Tribolium castaneum: one gene and its partner. The protein of the gene in region 1 purifies or fractionates together with the protein of each later gene. This does not show direct contact. Links are inferred from orthologs where the notes say so. Each region holds a gene or a part of one and is shown on either strand. Other genes may lie near its edges.

Region 1 (4,350 bases):
GCAAATTGAACCAAACTCTGTGTGCGGGCACCAACATTGGCCGCATTTATTTCTGGACCAGGAACACAAACAATGGGGAAAATCCCGAGGATTGTTGGGAGTTGAATAACGTAAATACGGTCAGCGGAACCGTTAAACAATTAATGTGGGGTTCTGTTCAGTTAAGACTCCCGTTATTGAGCGTTAATTGCGTCACGTGTGTTTACATAATGAAGGAACAATCGATTTGTACGTGTTTTTCCGATGAGGTTTGGTGCACGCAAAAAACCGCCAGTCAGGTGCTTGTCGAAAGCGCCAAAAGCAACGTTTTGTTGACTTTGGAGACACAAATCACTGATATGTGTATCAATGACACGTTTGCAATTTTCACAAATGGGAGACGTGTTCTAGTTTATGAAATTTTCTGGGATGGGTCTGACTCGGAAAAGTTCGAACTCAATACGAACATTTCCAAGCAGACCGAAAGTTCGGCCGACTTTTCGATTAAACTAATCAGCACGTTTGCGTGTGACAATGAGAAGGTTTTACTCCACAAAAAAATGATCGTTGTTTTGACCGCGAAAGCGGTCACACTCCGACAATTAAACGGTTCGGTTATAACCACCATCGTGTCACCCTCACACGAGGGCGAACCGATCGGACTCGACGTCACGGGGAATTACCTCACGATTTTCACAATCGAAGGCTACATGAAAGTGTACGAACTGGGCGAGAATGAGGCGAAACTGTCGATTCCGGCCCGGAATTTGTACGACATGTGCCCGGACTTTGGCGAAATAATCCAGGCGAAAAGCAACTCAAGCGGCAATAAAATCGCCCTGACTTTAGCCGCGGCCAATCTAGTGCCCGATGGGCGCTTGTACGTCTGGGACGTGGAAAACGACAATTTGCTATCGTACGATTTCCACAAGTACGGTAACTTTGATTTGGAGCAAAGTCCGGACGAATTCAGCGTCGACGAACGAACCGAACAAAACGATTCGTCAAACGACGACGAAACCGTTGCGGTTTTCGACGAAATTTGCTCGAATCGCATCCCTTTGCACTTGTTTTGGGACGCTCATGACCCGCGATTATTAATCTGTGATGCGAAAAAAGTCAAGTTAGGCTTGGGTGAGAAAAAATTGAAACGGTCGCGGTCTGATACCAAAACTACGCTCAAGGATCAGGACCATATTATTATAACGATGTTTGTGTCGTCCGAACACGGGATTAAAATGCACGATATCAGGGGTGTGGAGGCTGAGAGTCGGTTACTGGCCTTGGCTACGCCCTATTTGGTGATTTTGGAGAAGTTGGTCATAGTTCGGGACGTTATGAGTGATTTTAACGGGCTTGAAAGTTGTAATAAGGAAACGCGCGATGCTGTTTTGAATTTTAGTTATAATTTGAGTCTTGGTAACATGGATGAGGCCTTTAAGGCGATTAAATTGGTGCAAAATCCGGGCGTTTGGGGTAGTTTAGCGAGGATGTGTGTCAAGACGAGGCGTTTGGATGTGGCTGGGGTTTGTCTGGGGCATATGGGCAATGCACGGGCTGCGATGGCACTCCGAGTGGCTGTGGCTGATTATTCGTTGCCACATGAGGCGAAGTTGGCCGTTTTGGCCGTACATTTGGGGATGCTTGTAAGTGAATCCGTGAAAAAACCCACAAAAAAATTCACATGGATCACGGACGTGACACAAATGAGGCTTTGAATTTTTATCGTTAAATATTTTTGTTAAAATTCTGTTAACTTAAAAGGCACTAATTCAAACTATTTTTTACAAATTTACTATTTGTTTACATATGACGGATGGGACAAAAAATCTTGTGTGTGAAAATAACTCTAAAAAAATTATTTATGTAGTGAAAATTAAAATTTCTTGGCGTTGTTTAACGACGTAAGAAATAAGAGCAACATGTATGTTTGTAATAACGGACGGGACAGCAAAATTTTTTCTTTGTGGGTTTTTTCTTGTGCGCGGTTTTTTTCCGGTAGTGGTTTTTTTACCAAATTTTTGAAGGACGAGGCCGAGCAATTGTACATCCAATGCCAGCGTTACGACCTTTTGAATAAATTGCTCCGAAGTCGGAATAAATTCGACGCTGCTCATGCCATTGCAGAATCGCAAGATCGCATCCATTTGAAAAACACTGACCACGCGTGGGGTAAAGCCCTTGAAGCCGTGGGGGATTTTAAAGAGGCGGCTGTTCGTTACGAAAAGGCCAACACTCATAAATTCGATGTTCCAAGAATGCTTTTAGATCAACCGCAACAACTTGAAACTTATATGGGAAAAACTAAAGACCCGTATGGAGAAGTTGGGGTTTGTTGTTAGTGTGATGATTTTTTGTTTTTTAGTGATTTGCTTAAGTGGTGGGGTCAGTATGTTGAGTCTCAAGGGGAGATGCAAGCCGCCTTGAAAATTTATAGTAGTGCAGGTGATGTTTATTCGCAAGTGAGGGTGCTTTGTTTTCTTGGGGAGGAAAGTAAAGCGGCTGAATTGGCAAGGTCGGGACGGGATAAGGCCGCCTTTTATCACATGGCTAGGTTTTACGAAACGACAGGGAATTTTGAAGAGGCTGTGAATTTTTTCACAAAGGCTAACGCCTACAGTAAGTTTAGAAATTTTCATTTTTTTTTATTTTCTCAATTACGGCAAAACTATTCGAAAAAGTGGAACTATTCTGATGTAAATCTACGTAAAACGATCCGGGGAATCGATTGGCATCGAGAAAATCGCGAAGTTAGCAATAGTTTTTAAGTTATGAATTTTTTCAACTTGGCGCATCCACCATTTTTCACGTTGGAATAAGTTCTTTTAAATAAATTCTGGAATAAGTCAGTGTTGGAACAATGGTGGTATAATACGTAAAATGAGCCGCTGAATTCAATGGAACAAACCGCATTGCTCTACGACTTTTAGTTTTTGAGTTATGAATTTTTTAATAATTAGCTCGGCGCATCCACCATTTTTCATTTCAAAATAACCTTTTAACTAAGTTCTTGAGCAGGCTAGTCTTGGATAAATGCCGGTATAATATGTAAAATGAGCCGCAGAATCCAATGGAACAAACCGTTTGGCTTTATGTCTTTTAGTTTTCGAGTTATGATTTTTTTTTTTGATATTTGGACAGAATAATTCTTTCCTAGGTAACGCGGTCCGACTTTGCAAAGAGAACCACATGAGCGACGAATTATGGAACATCGGCTCTGTTGCCGGAACTCGCGAAAAACTGGAATGTGCGCGCTATTTCGAGGAAATTGGGGCCCTTGACAAGTCGGTTATTTTATACCACAGGGCCGGAATGCTGCACAAGGCCCTCGACCTTGCATTTAAAGCCCAACAATACGACATTCTCCAACAAATCGCCACAGACTTGGACGCTGATAGTGACCCAGCTTTGGTGCAAAAATGCGCCGATTATTTTGTAACAAACGAACAGTTCGACAAAGCTGTTGATTTACTCGCAATTGCGAAAAAATACAAAGAGGCGATCACGATTTGTCTGACACATAACGTGCAACTGACTGAAGATTTAGCCGAAAAGTTAACACCTGAGAAAGACCAACTGGAGGAAGCGGACCGTGTTAATGTCTTGCAAACGTTGGCTGAAAGTTTAATGTTGCAAGGCAATTACCACTTGGCCACGAAAAAATTCACACAAGCCGGCGATAAGGTGAGAATAAAAAATTGTTGGTTGCCGTTTTAGAACTGTTTTAGATTCGGGCAATGAAAGCGTTGCTAAAAAGTGGCGATACCGACAAAATCATTTTTTTCGCGGGCGTTTCGCGCCAAAGAGAGATTTACATAATGGCAGCGAATTATTTACAATCGCTGGATTGGCAAAATAATCCCGAGATTTTACGCAACATTATTACGTTTTATTCGAAAGGCAAAGCTTTGGATCTTTTGGCCAATTTTTACGTGGCTTGTGCACAAGTCGAGATTGACGAATTTAAAAATTACGAAAAGGCGTTTGGGGCCTTGACTGAGGCGTCGCGGTGTTTGGCTAAAATAGGCAATCCCAGGGACTCAAGCCAACATCAGAGAGCGACCGAAATCGTCCAACAAAGACTCACAATGATTAAGCGGTTTGTTGATATTAGGAGATTATTTGATCGGGGGGATTACCAAGCCGGTAAAAATTTAACTAGGTTTTTGCCCAATTTTTGCGTTTTTTATCGTAGGCATTGCACAATGTCGCCAGTTGTTAATGACCGGAGGCAAGGAATTGGAAGAATCGGTTCGCAGGGGCGATATTTGTGCCCTAATGATACAGGAGTACATCAAAAGTGGGAATTTTACCGAAGCTAAACAATTACTAGGGGAATTGAAACAGTTATTGTTCAGTAGTGGGAACACA
Region 2 (4,094 bases), on another chromosome or scaffold:
GATAAATATAGCCTTTCTGTCAGGTAATAAAATTCCAATTGTTTTTATAAGAGATATTTATTTAGGTGTTGGTTTTGTGAAAGAAACTCAATTAAGTAATACTTGAACTAGATGAAAGGAAAACAGATTTGTATGTTAGTTTTTAGCTTGAAATGCAGTTTTGCAGTATAATTATATCATATTTATTTCCGTCCAGTTACATAATTACAGAATCTCGTTGAAGGTGCTTATGCATTTTCTGACTGTTTCAGGTGAATATACTTTTTAACAAACGATAAATTACGCTTGAAAGTATCGTTTACTCTTTATCTTCTCTAACTTGCCATTGTCTTTGTTTGATACTATGTGTAATTACGAAAACAAATTTTTGTCATTTTTAAAGATGGTTTTAAACTTTTTTTTAGATAAACTTATATATGTAATGTTCATATTTAACAGAGTTACATTTTAGTCAAAGGCTGTGTAAAATTATGATAAATCCATTGTTGGCGACATTGTGTTAAGGTTGGTAAAGATTTTAACATTTCTCAATTTGGTGTTGTAGAACGGCCATCCTTAATGTAATTTCCTTGTTGGCTGTCTGAATAATTAAAAAAATTAAAAGTAATTGTGATTTTAAAGTTTTCAATAGGAAGTTTGCAGTAAGTTTTTGTTGTGTGTCTCATCGTAGCAATAATTATATGGTTCATCTGTACAATATAAAAAATTTAATGCAAACTCCTGAATTTATTTTAGCAGTGGTAAAGTCGTACAGAGGATATACCGTTTTTACACCTTTTTCTGATAATTAACTTTAACTAATTTTTATGAACCATTATATCTAGACTCCAGTAAGGATCTAGGATGTAAAAACGGTCATTCTTTGGTACGGCTTATACGAGTATGTATGTATATAAAAACGCTGAAACAACTTGTATCTATGAAAATGCTTCATTTTATTTTTTGTAATTTTAAGATAATATGCATAATTTATTAAATAATTTATCGATAGCAAGTGACTAAAATAATATGACATTTGTAAAATGACATTTGTTCTTTTAGGGATCTTGTAGATATTCGCTTCTTTTAAAGTTACAGGCATGATTATGATTTATGAACTGTTTGTATTGTTAACATTTAAGTAAGATTATTTTTTTTATTCGTATACAATGGAAATTAAGATATTGAATTGATATGTACATTTTATAAAAAATAAAACAGGAAATGTACCTGACTGTACCTTATTTATTTGGACTAAAAAAGCAGTCGCCCAATAAAAGTTTTAACATTGAGACATTTTAGTTTTTAATGTTGGTGTCATTGGTTATCATGGTGGCTGTTTAATGTTTATTCTAACCCAACTTGTAAATTAATTGATTTTTGTTGAATACAAACAAATCTAGCATGAATTGGGACGAAGACATAGACTTACTTCCAAATAAGAAAGTAAGTTTTATGTTTTTGAAAACTGATTATTTAACTATAGGTTAGTCTGCTACTAAACACGGACGGCGGGCAAGCAATGCTCCTGCAAGTCCAGAAGATCAGCCACAAAGTTCAACCAAAAAAACGCCACCAGAAGTGCCTATAAGAACTAGGAAAACTGGGGGATGGGCTGATGAGGGCGTAAAATCTGCAAAGTAAGTTTTATTGAAATCGCAAGTGAGAAGTGCTCACAAACTTTTAGGGTGAAAGGATCAAATATAATTGAGCAGTAAGTGTGCACTTTGAAGTAATATTTTGGTAAAATTATTATTAAATAACGTTAGAGAACGCTTTCAAAATGAAAAACCACAAGATTCTGAGGATGATATTCCAGTAATACCTGACATTGATGATATTGCCGATGATCCACTTAATTTGCCTGATGTAAAGGTCCCTAAGTGAGTAAAACAGTAGGAAAATGTTAATTATTTAATTTGATTATTCTCGTGTAGCATAACTGTGAAAGAATCAACTTATAAAGAACTGGATAGTCAGTTTGAAACAGGCCAACCAAATTTTGGAAATATTGGAGATGTAGACTTGTCTATTTTAACAAGCAGACTTTATCCAGAGAAAGATGTTCAAAGATGTACGGAAGTGTGGACTATGGAGTCATTGTATCAAGACCTTACGAAACAATGACTTCATCGTAACTTTTTTTACATTTTTTTTCCACAAGGATGTATTTATGCACACATTTTGCAGGTCAGAGCACTTTTAAATTAATTTTATTCATTATATATTTTACAATAAGTGCCTAAATATAAATGTACGTTGTTAAAAAAAGCCTTAGTCAGTATTTCTGTGACAAATATTAGAAAACTGACTCCGAGACCAGTCGCCAGAAACCAGAAAACATGTTTGAGGTGATGGAATTTTAAAACGTTTTCATTATCAGACGAAAAACTATCATAATTATATTTTGGAACGTCCTTAACCACCTTGTATTGCTGTTCTCGTAACAACCACTCGCTGATTTTGTCCAAATAAGGGGAATGTTTCTTAAAAATATACGTACTATGACTCGGCACTAAAACTTCTCTCATTACATAAAAGACAGTTCGCTTATGTTCATTTCTCATCATAAGTTCGATACTTTTTGCCGAACTCCACGACAAGCCATAAGCTCCAGACGTGTTCAAATCATTGTAGATCATCTCGGTCCTTTTTTTCCTATTATCGAGATAAATAAAACGTTTGCGAAGACTGTCCTCTTCGGAAATTCGGTTAGCCAAAGGATGCGAAATGTAAATTTGTATTTGGCTTTGCTCTAATTCCTCAACCGAATTTATTTGATTACTCGGATTTGCTGTCATGAAATTAGTAATCAGGAAACACTGAAATGCCGTTCTGAAGATAATTGAGCCAAAAATAAAAACACAAATTTGTATTTTTGCACTGCAACGTTTCTTATTCAGGTTGGGAAAGGGGTAACCCAAAAGACTCGAATAAATGTATAACACTGTCACAAGAAGCAATTTTCGGAAATTACTTTCGCCCAATAGTGACGTAATTGAAACTGTTACAATTACCACTAAAAAAAGTATCATGGGAATCACCTCGAACAGGATAACAGTGGCAGAACTAGACGTTTCGTTAAACGGCAACAAAATTGCCAAACCATTGATTTCATGGGGGTACGTAAATTCTGCGTTTTCGTACGCATGAGGGCCTCTGAAATGACTAACGAAGCAAAAATCTGTCAGCCCGTTTAAAATATCGTTGTAACACCCTTGGTAGTGCGTATTTTCAGGTGGTTCGATAATTTGGAACGTTGAGTTTAGCTTTTCTGTGACCATTTCCAAAACATTGTAGTCTCTCCCTATCCACTTGTTGTCCGATTTGTTTACAAGAGGGAAGTTTATGAAAAAACCGACTCTGAGGTTGTAACCATGCAAATTTTGCAATTTGTTCGGAAAATATCCGGGAGTGTGGGTCAGATTCAAAATTCTATCAATAAATGGATTGTACGTAAAAATTTGCAACGTCTCTTGCACAAAAACAACAACGAAATTAAGTATGTGGTTTTTCCATACAGTTTTCACAAAGTTTTGTAAAAACGCAACCGAATCAATTCGTTTACAAATTATGAGGTGTGTCTCGCCTCTCACATTCCAAAGTGTGTAGTTCTGTATCCGTTGTATATCTCTTTCGATTTCGTTCAGATCTTCGATAAAGATAAAAGCAGCTTGCGTTTTGGACATTATGCTTGTTTCGGTAAAAAAATCACTTATGGTGAGCGATGGACATAAGTTACGCTTGAGGAAGTCGTCGGAAATGTGTCTCGTGTCTGGTAAATTAACATTAAAGTAGCTGCAAGATGTGTAATTTCCAAATAATTGATATTTGTTCAAATGGTTTTTTACAAAGTCGTTTTGAAAAATGGTTTTAGAGGGGTAAAGTAGTGCCAAGAAGAACAGTAATGTGGCACACATAACGTTTGTCATTATCATTGGGAGGTATATTAAAAAAACGTGTTAGGATAATGTTTTCGGTTAAAAGGAAGCCACGTAATTGGGGGCTATTATTTTTATTGCAAGTAATAACATACAGTTTTATAAAATCGATATTGGTCAGTTTAGTGAAATTTTATGTTATTTCACTAATTATCCAAAATTTATCCGCAATTA

The links. Proteins that work in one complex are often made in the same cells at the same time.
Region 2: the proteins of rempA (region 1) and IFT43 purify together in Homo sapiens (affinity purification with mass spectrometry; 3 studies listed by BioGRID and IntAct, counting the BioPlex papers as one, with this or other methods). This does not show direct contact. The link is inferred for Tribolium castaneum from reciprocal best matches to the Homo sapiens genes IFT140 and IFT43.

The regions. Positions count from the first base shown.
Region 1 is NC_087399.1:1,787,969-1,792,318, reverse strand, and holds part of rempA (intraflagellar transport protein 140 homolog), read left to right. Parts: coding exon 1-1,625; intron 1,626-2,006; coding exon 2,007-2,293; intron 2,294-2,344; coding exon 2,345-2,598; intron 2,599-3,136; coding exon 3,137-3,663; intron 3,664-3,707; coding exon 3,708-4,125; intron 4,126-4,174; coding exon 4,175-4,350. UniProt on the Homo sapiens protein: Component of the IFT complex A (IFT-A), a complex required for retrograde ciliary transport and entry into cilia of G protein-coupled receptors (GPCRs).
Region 2 is NC_087394.1:35,543,805-35,547,898, forward strand, and holds the start of IFT43 (intraflagellar transport protein 43 homolog), read left to right. Parts: upstream 1-1,279; 5' UTR 1,280-1,383; coding exon 1,384-1,425; intron 1,426-1,470; coding exon 1,471-1,619; intron 1,620-1,666; coding exon 1,667-1,693; intron 1,694-1,748; coding exon 1,749-1,862; intron 1,863-1,916; coding exon 1,917-2,106; 3' UTR 2,107-2,169; intron 2,170-4,094. Other genes in the region: TBC1 domain family member 12, read left to right, coding at 1-27. UniProt on the Homo sapiens protein: As a component of IFT complex A (IFT-A), a complex required for retrograde ciliary transport and entry into cilia of G protein-coupled receptors (GPCRs), it is involved in ciliogenesis.